Oryzias latipes: one gene and its partners. The protein of the gene in region 2 purifies or fractionates together with the protein of the main gene of each other region. This does not show direct contact. Links are inferred from orthologs where the notes say so. Each region holds a gene or a part of one and is shown on either strand. Other genes may lie near its edges.

Evidence for each region.
Region 1: the proteins of znf644 (region 2) and ehmt2 purify together in Homo sapiens (affinity purification with mass spectrometry; 3 studies listed by BioGRID and IntAct, with this or other methods). This does not show direct contact. The link is inferred for Oryzias latipes from reciprocal best matches to the Homo sapiens genes ZNF644 and EHMT2.
Region 3: the proteins of znf644 (region 2) and chromobox protein homolog 3 purify together in Homo sapiens (affinity purification with mass spectrometry; 3 studies listed by BioGRID and IntAct, with this or other methods). This does not show direct contact. The link is inferred for Oryzias latipes from reciprocal best matches to the Homo sapiens genes ZNF644 and CBX3.

The regions. Positions count from the first base shown.
Region 1 is NC_019869.2:5,431,807-5,436,156, forward strand, and holds the start of ehmt2 (histone-lysine N-methyltransferase EHMT2), read right to left. Parts: upstream 2,884-4,350; 5' UTR 2,838-2,883; coding exon 2,811-2,837; intron 1-2,810. UniProt on the Homo sapiens protein: Histone methyltransferase that specifically mono- and dimethylates 'Lys-9' of histone H3 (H3K9me1 and H3K9me2, respectively) in euchromatin.
Region 2 is NC_019875.2:5,868,106-5,871,757, forward strand, and holds part of znf644 (zinc finger protein 644), read right to left. Parts: intron 3,060-3,652; 5' UTR 3,051-3,059; coding exon 680-3,050; intron 1-679.
Region 3 is NC_019869.2:11,215,323-11,219,594, reverse strand, and holds the start of chromobox protein homolog 3, read right to left. Parts: upstream 2,917-4,272; 5' UTR 2,785-2,916; intron 2,113-2,784; 5' UTR 2,105-2,112; coding exon 1,959-2,104; intron 1,295-1,958; coding exon 1,138-1,294; intron 1,039-1,137; coding exon 944-1,038; intron 286-943; coding exon 159-285; 3' UTR 1-158.

The DNA of each region.
Region 1 (4,350 bases), on a different chromosome or scaffold from region 2:
TCAGAAACCGAAACCATGGATATTCAATAAAGTTCATTGTGTCTATAAGATTAACTGACTCCTTGGGTTATTTTTTTTTTATCAGACATGGTTTGTGTTTTGTCAGGACCCTAAATATTTGGACACAGACACATTTTTTTCTAATTTAGTTTCTGTAAATTACCACAGTGAATTTTAAATCAAACAACTCAGATGCCATTGAAGTGCAGACTTTCAGCTTTTATTCCATGGGTTGAACAAAAAGACTCCATAAAAATGTGAAAAACTAAAGCATTTTTTAAACACGATCCCTTCTTTTCATGGGCTCGTAAGTAATTGGACAAATGAAATGGTCATTACTAATATTTGGCTTAAAATCCTTTGTTGGCAATGACAGCCTGAAGTCTTGAACTCATGGACATCACGAGATGCTGGATTTTCTCCTTCTGAATGTTCTGCCAGGCCTTTACTGCAGCGGCTTTCAGTTGCTGTTTGTTTGTGGGCCTTTCTGTCTGAAGTTTAGTCTTCAACAAGTGAAATGCTGCTCAATTGGGTTAAGATCAGGCGACTGACTTGGCCATTCAAGAATATTCCACTTCTTTGCTTTAATAAACTCCTGAGTTGCTTTGGCTGTATGTTTTGGGTCGTTGTCCATCTGGATTATGAAACGCCACCCAATCAGTTTGGCTGCATTCACCTGGATCTGCGCAGACAGTCTGTCTCTGAACACCTCAGAATTCATTAGGCTGCTACTGTCCTGTGTCACGTCATCAATAAACACTAGTGTCCCAGTGCCACTAGCAGTCAAGCATGCACAGACCATCACACTGCCTCCATCGTGTTTTACTGATGATGTAGTGAGCTTTGGATCATGAGCTTCTCCACGCCTTCGCCATACTTTTCTCTTGCCATCATTCTGTTAGAGGTTGATTTTGGTTTCATCCAAAGAATGTTTTTCCAGAACTGTGCTGGCTTTTTTAGATGCTTTTTAGCAAAGTCCAATCTAGCCTTCCTATTCTTGAGGATTATGAGTGGCTTGCATCTTGCAGTGTACCCTCTGTATCTACTTTCATGCACTCTTCTTTTTATGGTAGACTTGGATATTGATACGCCTACCTCCTGGAGAGTGTTGTTCACTTGGTTGGCTGTTGTGAACGGGTTCTTCTTCACCATGGAAATGATTCTGCAATCATCCACCACTGTTGTCTTCCGTGGCCGTCCAGGTCTTTTTGCGTTACTGAGTTCACCAGTGCTTTCTTTTTTTCTCAGGATGTACCACACTGTTGATTTTTCCACTCCTAATACTGTAGCAATTTCTCGCATTGTTTTTTTCTGTTTTCCCAGCTTAATGATGGCTCCTTTCACCTGCATGGAGAGCTCCTTTGACCGCATGTTGTCTGTTCACAGCAAACTCTTCAAAATGCAAGCACGAGTCCTCTAATCAACTCCAGGCCTTTTATCTGCTTCACTCATAATGACATAACAAGGGAATTGCCCACACCTGCCCATGCAATAGCATGGAAGTCAGTTGTCCAATAACTTATTAGCCCATGAAATGAAGGGATTGTGTTCAAAAAATGCTTTAGTTTTTCACATTTTTATGCAATCTTTTTGTTCAACCCATGGAATAAAAGCTGAACGTCTGCACTTCAATGGCATCTAAGTGGTTTTATTTAAAATTCACTGTGGTAATGTACAAAAACTAAATTAGAAAGAATTTGTCTATGTCCAAATATTTATGTTCCTGAATGTACCTGACACGTTTCGGCGGAATCACTTCTGCCTTCATCAGACTCGTTATCAGGTGGTGGTGTTGTGACAGGTGGAGCAGAGGAAATACCATTATTATAAATAACAGTATTTCCTCTGCTCCACCTGTCACATCCCCACCACCTGATCACGACTCAGATGCCGCCAAAACATGTCAGGTATGTGAAAAAACACAAAACGTGTCTGATTAAAAGAAAAAATAACCCAAGAAGTCATGCATTTACTGCAGTTTATCACGAGGTGATGGACTCTGAGAAAACAGCTAGTAAAAAAAACACATATTTTTTACACTGATAGGAAACTATTTGTTGAAAAAAAAATGTTTTTTTCAATTGATGTTGCCAGAAAAAAACACTAGTAATAATAATATTTTCTCCACATAAATCAATGCTTTACTCCTAAATCTTTGCTGAGGATAAAACTAAGTATGTAGGATGGCAATCTGCTTTAGTTACTTAAATACCATCTAACAATTATATTTAAAAAATGATGACACAAAAGATTGATCTAAAAACTTAAGACTTTCTTTTCAAATTTCACCTCCCGGCGATGCTAACTCCTATATTCCCGGTTGCCATGTCAACCAGCCCATAACAAGAGATATCCAGCTTTCTCTTTCACACAAATATAAACACAAAAATCATTTAAAAATATATATTTCTTAAATACAAATTAATTTTCGTGCACTTTGTTTTCTATTTTAAACGATGAACTTAGCGTACAGAACAACAAGAACGAACTCCGTGATAAATAGTGGAATAATTTAAAACATTAAAAAAATATATTTAAAGGGTTGAATGTGTAGCAAATAGTCATAAATGGGAGTCAAGTGTAGGAATTAATGTTGACTAAATACTCATTTATAACTGTTACATGCTAGCACTGCTAGCATCCTAACACTGCTTACAAGACAATAATTCTTATCTATACATACACAAATACGCTAACGGTATGCGGGATTCTTGTGTTTCATTATGTCCAATAAACTAATGCGCATTTGTATGTAAAAATAGAATAGAAAGGCGTAAAAAGGGCTCGTAAACCCGTTTTGCAGTTGCTACCTTTGTCGTTGTGTGGGACGCCGACATGTTTCCCCGAAGCACGTCGGCTGAACGTGCTACGTCACAGCTCCAGCCCCGCCCCTTCGAAGCACACTGATTCCGAATCACTGATCAGAAACCAGTGTACGTGCTCGTGGCTCGTGGCCGTTTTCCACAAAAAGTTGCGCGTGGAAACCGATTCGAAGTCGGTTTCGTATGTCAAACTGGCGGTCTGTGATTCATTGTGATGAATTTCACTCTCTACGGAGAAACGAGGCGATAGAAGTAAACACAAAAAATCGAGGGCAGTAGCACAGCAGCGGCCACGAGATGAGATCATGTTGTCAGCAGTGTGCCTTCGGAGTTGATTCTTCTGTTTGAGACGCTACAAATCACCGAACACCACGAGACAAAGGTACGTATAGAAATAAGCGCAAAGTTTCCAAAAATTGTGGAGCTTTGGTTCTGTGGCTGGGAGCCGATCCTCTTTGGATCGGACCGTAGATTTTAGGCACGAGCGTTTAGTTGGTAGCTAACGTTAGCTAACAGTCGAGGAGGTTAGCTAGTTTAAGGTAAAACAAATTAATAAAAATGTGTGATTTGTATTGTTTGTTTGTTTCTATCTCTAAAAATTGAACCACCTAGGTTAAGATAACACATGTGGATTACCTACACTTTCCTAATCTTCTTTTACTCCCAGATTAGCTATCTTGACTAACCTTTCTTCCCGAGGCTACCAACTTTGAATGCTAAATCGATATTAGATACACGTGATGCAAAAATAATTGTATTTAGTTACATTTTATTATTACACCAGGCAAGAGTAATAATAAAAGCTTCTATTGCGTTTTAAATGGAAAAACTCGTGTTGTTGATAAACAGTTTATTTTCCCTTTAAATTTGGCCAAACCAACATTTCTGGTTTTTCAATTCAAATCTAACTTTATTTGTAAAGCAATTTTCATGCCCACAGAACAGTGTTTTATATGATAAAAACATTTTTCAATTTAAAAGAAAAACAAAGAACTTATCACACAAAAATGAATACAGAAAGGTGTGTTATGTTTGGAAAATTAGCTTTTACATTTGTTTGATTTTGTGCATTAGTGACTTCCTTTCAGATAACTGCCTTTGCAGCTATAACATCTGAAATGAGAGATTTTTACAAACTTATTGGGAATGCTTGACCTTTCCGTTTAGGTCATAGGTTTTGCTCTATTTCGTCCCAAAGGTGTTGAGTTGATGTCAGGACTCTGTGCAGATCCGATCCATGTCTTTGGTGGACCCTGCTTTTGTACAAAACCAGGCGCTCATGCGCTCATGTTGCCACAGGAAGCCACCTTCCCCAGACTCTCCTCATAGGCTTGGAATTGTCCACGTCTCTTGGTATGTTGAAGCATTCAGAAGACCGTTTTTCTGGAACAAAAGGGCCAAGCCCAGCTGCTGAGAAACATCCCACGTTAGGACATCATAACAAATGCGGTTCTTCTGGCAACTGCCAAACCGAACTCATCAGATTGAGAAGTTAGCGTTCAAGAATGCACATCTCTACTGCTCCAGA
Region 2 (3,652 bases):
AATAGCCCACTAAGAATCTTGGAATCCAGCTTGAGAAGCTGTTTGCAGGTAAGACCATCTCAACCATTTAAACTGACTTGTGGCAAATCCTGGTTGAAGTTTGGAACATTTTAGGACATTTTCATGGCACTGTAACTAGCATGAGGACAAGGTTTTTGTAACTTCAGTCATCCAATCCATCAACCACCAAACAAATAAATGACAGAGCAAGTTATTTGGCACTGGAAGAGACGAGGCAATTTTTTCATGGAAGCAACCCATAACCTCTTCTTTGGTCATCCCACAAAAACATACCCTTTACAAACATGGTACTGACTGTTAAAATGATAAGAATGATTAACAGCCATTACAACAATAAACTTTTTTTTGTGCAGAATCATTGCTACAACAAAAGAATTATCTATGGAAACAAATGCTTACTTTTCATGCTTCGTTGAAAAAGAAGTGTATTGGTTTGGCTCTTAATAAAGATGGTAACAAGTACAGAAATGTTGTACTTCTAATAATCAAACTGCTTCTACTAAACAATGTTGGTAAACTGCAGATAATGATTCTTAGTTACTTATCATCAGATCTTCTTTGTTTTATTCAGTGTTATTTCAGATCATCCACATTTCGTTTAATCGTGTTACTTTCTGCGTTCAGATATACGTCTTGTGTTTTTGTGTGTAATGGGTACCTTTTCTCAGTCGACGGAAGGCTGCAATCTTCCTTCGAATACGCGGCCTCCTGTCTTGTGATGCCACCTGCTCAGCAGAAACAATATGGCGTGCATTGTAGCTTAATCCAACCCTATGAAGGTGTCCTCGTATATGATTGGAAAGTCCAACACCAGACTCAAACACAGCCGGACAGTATGGACAATTCTTCTGGCCGGATTCTAATTCTGACAGATCATCTTCAAGGGATTCCCCCAATGGTATTTGGTGGGACTCAAAGGTCTCTTGAAAAACCTCTGTTTCAATGGATTCTTCTTTAATATCTGGGATGCTTTGTTCTTCATCTTCTGTCTTTATCTTTTCAAACAGCCGTTTAGAAGTATGTAGAGCGTCTCTCATGGACATCCTTCTACTATAAGTATAAATGATACTTTTTCTTTCTTTTTCAATACTATTTTCAAAAAGGGTACTACTGGCGTGTGACTCATTGATCTGAAAAATGTTGTTTTCCTCACAGTCAGAAAACTCTTCCTCTAGGTTTACTTTATTGTTACCTGCTAAATGTTTTGGTAAGATGAAGTATGAGTCTTGATCAGAGGTGTTGCGATATGGGGTGGACATCTTCCGTTTTGACTGTGACTTCTTGAAGGAATTTTCAACATTAAGCTTTAGGCCGTTTTCAGACGTAGCAGAATCTTCCACTTTGCTAGACAACATTTCTAGAGAATCACAATCATCAAAGTTGTCAATTGTGGAATCCTGAGCTTTTGCACTACAATTATTGCCTTCTTTCTGATCTGGACATTTTTTTCCCTGGCTTTGTCGAGACAAGAGAACATTAATCGATCTATCAAGTTTTGATTCTGTTGACGGAGTCTTGGGACCTTTCTGAAGCTTGCTGCTAAACAAGTCTGAAATGTCAGTGGACTCATCAGGAGTTCCTTTAGAGAAGTTTTGATTTTGTTTCGTGAAATTAGTTGTAAACTCTTTTTGTGCAGTAGAAGCCTTATGAGATGTGACCTTGTGGCCATGAGATTGAGTGACCTTGCCATTGTTCTGTGCTTCCATATATTCCGTCAAAGTCATCTGATGACGTAGAACTAGGTGGTTATGAAAAACATGTTCAGCAAAAGCTTTATAGGAACAAAGGGTACAGGGGAAGCTTTTGGAATCTTTGCTCTGTAGCTGCTTTTTACCTGTAACAGTAGGGTGCTTCGTAGTCTCGTGTTTTCTGAGTTCATTGTAACTTAGTGTCTTAAAACTACATCTGTCACATCCAAAATTCCTCTTTTCTTTTTCATGTGTTTTTGCGTGTTGGACAAATGTGTTTGGGCAATTCGTTACGAATGGACACTGAGGACAGAAAAGCTTCTTATTATATTTTTTCCTATTGCCTTTGATGTCTTCTGTGTGTCTTGTTTTCTTTACCTGGTGGGTTGCTATGTGATCAGCAAGTGCATTGCTTTGTTTGAAAGACTGCCCACATTCTTCACAGGTAAAAGGCTTTGGTGAAATACCAGGAGGGTCAACATGAGATTTCAAATGACGAAACAAGTGTTCTTGTTTCTTGAATACAAGCTTACATTTTGAACATGAGTAAGATGGAGGCTTCTCCTTAAATTGAGAAAGTCCACAATTTAAACTGTTTTCATGTGAAATTCTCGCAGGTGCTTTATGTAGCATTTCTTTAATGGCAGTTGCAGATCCATTGGGATACTTGGAAGGCTTCCCTGTTGGTGATGTTGGGGGTTTGAAAAGCTTTGGTGTCTTTCTGATAGGACTTGTATCAACCTGTCCTTCAATATCAGATGATTCATCAAATGACTTAGAGCCCAGAGCAGGGTACAAGTCTTCTGATGGATCCACCATAACAACCATGTCCATTTTCCGTTTCCTTCTTTGTCTGTCTGTTGGACTGGTTTGCTCTTTAGTTTCCTCTTCAGGGGAATCGCTATGATTCTCCCACAGAAACTCCATAAAATCTTTGTGAGGGCCCCAACTAAGGGCACTGACACTACCAAAATCATCCAATGAGTCATCTGGAGACTCCGCATCAAAGTTCCAGATTCCTGCAGTGTCTATCTCCTGCACAGTTTTTAGTGTGGTGATGCTTTTTTCCTCATCTTTCTCAACAGATAAGCTATTGTGTTCAATGGCTTGTGAGGCCTGATGCATAGAAGGTCCATTTCCCTGGTCATCAGAAGACAACACTTCCACGTTAGAGAGAACATCAAGGCCACTTTTGTGATGCGTAGCAGGCGTGTTTAAAGAATCAGTGCAAGATGATTGGTGTGCCATTCTCTCTGGCTCCTGCAGTGGCATGAGAGCACTGATTTCAGAATCTGCGTCTTTGTCATCTTCATCAACACCAGACTGACATGACATTTCCATTGCAATAACCTGAAAAAGAAAAGTAAAGCTTTGTGAAACATCGCCTAATCATAAAACTGTAATCATCAGAGTTCCTATGCAAATGATAAAATATCAACTTTTTTTGGTTCACACAAATTGGCTGCAAAAGGAATCAGTCCTTATCAGAAAGAAAAGAGAAATGTAGAACTATATTAAGGGCAAGATAAACATGTGGTGGGCTGGTTTCATTTGGCATGTAGTGCTGAAAATCTTCACACATTCCTAGCATAATCCCATGGAGTTGCTTCAGATGAGGGAGGAATGCTTATTATTTTCACACCAACATTTAGGTTTGATTGCTGATAGCTCTCTAAAAATAAGAAAATTATTGAAAACTAGAAAAATCATGTTTTGCCAAAAGAAATCCTGATAAGGAAAGAAAAAGATGGTCTAAAAAGTTAAATGGGGAATCCTCAAGCCTCTGACTACCAACTATTGGGTTCCTTTCACAAAGGAATTGTACTGTTGTACTCTGTTGAAATGGAAGGGACATGCTAAAAATGTTATCCCTTCATCTGAAGTGATTTTCTTTACAATGCTATCTATAACAAAAAGGATGGTCTCATTTGGGGGTGGTAATA
Region 3 (4,272 bases), on a different chromosome or scaffold from region 2:
TATATACAACCTTAAAGCTCATTGAAAACCACACAAGCGTAAAAAAAAAAAAAATCTATGTAATTCATGTAACTAGAAGGATAAGGCAGGAAACAGGAGCACAGAACGTCCTGAGAAAGGAGCAGAGGTAATGCAAAGAACAGCACAAACTACAACAGTTACTGAGCTTCATCTTCTGGACAGGAATGCCACGTCAGTCGCTCCTCATAGAAGGATATGACTACCTGAGGGCAGCGAGTGTTGGCTTCACGGGCCGGGACCAAATCCGCTTCGTCGGAGTCTTTCCTGTAAAAAATTAAACAGCGTTACACAAATGGAAAAAAAAAACATTCAACATAAAACTACTTTAAAAAAATTAGTCATATGATATTCCACAATAAATAACATCTTTCCACAATGTTTCTTTTGTGAACCAACCAATGAAGTTAAGAGAAAATGTGAACAACGTTCAAACTAGAAGTTTTCATTCTGGGCCAAATTGTACTGCTCACCTAAAACAAGTTTTACATTAACCCCTCCCTATGCTGTGGTTTATCTATCGCTGCTTCAAATTTTTATAAATATCTTTGCATGTTTATTTTGATTGCCCTCTGGATCCTGATTGGTTGATGACCATGTCATCCATCTCCTCCCTCCCATGTCTCCTGTACAAATGCGTTTAGCTTGCCCATTACAAACATCTTCCATTGTGACCAGATTTTTGTCTGCTTTCTAAAATATTGGACTTATTGTCTTATTTGAGAGTTTAAACAAGAGAGAAAAGTGTGAAAATGTTTGTTTGTCTGAGAAAAGTGTATAAAGTGTGTAGTGAGGAGTTTTACAATGATAATCCTATGAACCAGATTTTAAAGTGGGATGTTTATCTTATAATTTTTTTCATTTCATAAACATCTTTTAAAGGTTCTGTCTAGTAGACAGTCAGAGACATTCTATAAAAATGTACCATTTCATCAGAAACATTAACTCCCCGCTACTGTCAGTTGCTCCAATAATTCGCTCTGGCTCCAGGTTTCTGGCAAAGCCACGTGGTTTCTCAGCCTAAAGTGGAAGCACATGAACATTCAGAAAACAGTTTTAAAATGGAAGAATGACTAATTAGAACTGAGCTCAAAGTACTGCAATGACATTGTGACATACCATGTCTTTCTTCTTGGGCTCTGTCTCTGGCTCATCTGTGGAGGCTTTCCTTTTAACAGCAGCAGGCTTCTCCTTAATATTCTTTTGTGATTCCAAAAATGCAGAAATCAGCTCAGGACAGTCCAGGTTCTCCTCCGGCTCCCAGGTGTTGTCAGCACTAAATAGTTAAGAGGGCTGTGATCAATTGCATATAAATCATGACTTTTAAAAAAAATGTAAAGCTAACAGGATGCGGAGAACACTAGCAGCTTCATGCAAAAATGACTTTACTACATGTTCAGAACAATCTGAAACCAATCAGATCCAAATGATCTGGGTTATCAAGTGATCAGGGCAATCTGGTGTTCTTTAAAAAATAACAAGACTGGTCAAGTTATGAGAAAATTGTCTAAAGCATATAATCTGGTGTCTTCTTGCATGTAAATGAACTATTTGTAATTTTGGTTTACGTTATATGGGTAGTTACAGCGTGAGTGGAAAACAAAGAAAAAGGGCAGATGCTTGCCACATTCGAGCCAATTGTCTTGTTCTTTTCCTGAAGTATTCAGCCCATTTTGTATACCCATAAGCCAGAAGGAAAATCGAGGCCAAAAATTTGGCTAATTTTAGCTAAATGAAAGCTCAAGTTAAAGGAGGGGGAGGGGTCAAATTAAGAATCATAGTATAAATGTACAAAAACTTTAAAATTGGATCTAAGGCTCATGCTAATCTATTGTAAATGTCTGATTCCTTAACCACATAAAAATGTGGTAACAGAGTAAACAGGCCAACCCCCCTTCCCCATTCTAAAGAACTAGCTGGAGAGGCTCCAGTTAACTCACTCTGTAAATCCTTTCCACTTCAAGTAGAACTCTACTTTCCCATTGACGAGACGCTGGTCGAGTACTTTTTCCACAACAAATTCTTCTGGCTCTTCCTGCGTGTCCTGTGAGTCCTTCTTACTCTTTGTATTCTGCTTCTTGCCCATTCTGGCCTCTAAAACCAAGAGGAAGGAGAGTCAATTGCCGATGTATCACGCAACTGCCCTTTTCCACTTCACCTGTAGGACCCACATTTAGCAGAAAGGCTTGTACCGTAAATATAAAGGTGTACAGCATGTGTGTGTTTAGTTTTTCCAACTTTTTACGACGGACGCGACTCGGCCACGTTCACTCCGCAAGTTTTCCGTAAATGGTACTAGCGTCCTTTGGGTTAGCCAACATGCTAACGTAGCCAAAACAGTTTGAGGCCATGGTACCATTGTTTATATCTTTTTACTAAAAAGGAACATCAACATGCTACAAAAACGTGTTTTCTTTAGATCTTACCTTAACGCCTCAAATAATTACAACAATACAGCAATATCGACACCCAACAAAAAAACGAAAGATTGTTCGTGCTAGTGTTAAGTTAATAGCAATAGCAAAACGAGACAATCAACAGTCTAAAACTAAAAGTATACTATTCATACAACACTCGGGCTTGATAAACTTAAAAAGCTTGAGCTGTGAAGAGTCAAATACAAATTCTGTTCGGTTCATTGCATTCATTTCTATGATGAAGAAGTTAGCTTAAATTACTCCTTACGTCTTAGTTATTTAAGAAAAAAAGTTCAAAAACAAAGAGATGAGATGCAGCATTTAATACCGGTAAACGTAGCTTACATACCTTGTAAAGCCTAGAAAATGACCTCGGTGACGACTTATTCAACCACGCGGTCACTGCCTGTCTTTATGTACAGATGAAGAAAGGAGGGTGCGCGCCAAACGCAAAAGGCGAGTAGGCTACGGAAGCCCGTAAGGAAACAATTTGCTTTAGAGCACTTGTGACTCTACGGTGTCCTGTTAGTTTATTTTTACGTCATTTATTTTTTCTCAGTTTATATAACGGTTTATCTCACAATCTTTAAAATATGTTTTTTCATTTTAAATGAAAAATGAGAATACACGAGTAAAGCTTTGCAGCATGTTTAAAACATTGACACATTTCTATCGTTTTCACTAATAAAGGAACAGCTTATAGTTGTTTTTGTGTTTTAAATATTCTGTATGTCTTGAGTTTTTTTGATATTGACGCTTACAAATGACTTCTGAGCTAAAATAAACTCGTGTTACTAAAGAATACTACAAAAAATGTTTATTTTATGCAAACCAACTTACCTGCTATAGAATGATCTACAGAATTTGGGTGCATAGAATCCTAATAATAAAGCCCTAAATAAAATAACAAATACACAAAACAATATTGTGTCAGTGCAGTTGTATTGATTGAGTGTGAAAAAAATTAAGTATCAGTGTTTAAAGCTGTGAAAATTATTTACTGTCTCAATGTGATTATCAAATGTAAAGTGATTCATTTTCAGTAATCTTTACTTGATAAATATAAGGTTGTCTGTTAAATTTAGTTACACTAAAGCAATACCTTTGCTATAAGTGTGAAGGCGAAATAAAATGATCTGTGCTTCAGTCTACACTTTTGCAATCCAAATGTTTCTATTTTTTTATTTTTATTTGCAATAGTGAACAATATCTTCTACACCAAGTGAACCGAGTTAGTAAAAAATTCTCTGCTAGAAAAATTGTAATTTTGTCAAAATGTCTTCTTTACCATTTTTGACAATACCAAATAACTACAGCACTGGCCAAATGGTGTGATTTGAGTTGTACTTGGATTAATAATAATAATAAAAACTTAAAGCACTAGCAAAGTACTTAAGTTAGGAGAAAGACATTCACCCCACTTTAAAAAATGCTTAGACTTAAAGGTACACATAAAATGTGAACAATAATCTTATATTTATCAGAAAAAACAACAAGAATGCCACTTTCTTTTTTTATTCAGAGTAAACAAATCCCCCAAAAGCGCCTAAATTCTTCAAGAAAAACCATACTATCAGCAATCAACAAGCAAACAATCAAAAAACAAGAAAGACACACATTTGCGAAACTTAGAGACAGAAAAGTAAACTTTAAGCTAAACCAGGAAAAGAAAAATGTCACTTCATGCACTCCACAATTATTTCACACACTTGGCTGACTTTGTAAAGCTGTGAACCCATAGTTTTCATAGCAATCCCTTTGCATAATGACAAATATTTAAAGGGTTACATCTTGCCTTGCTGATAGATTTTTTAAGTAACTGGACAGCTTATCTGTT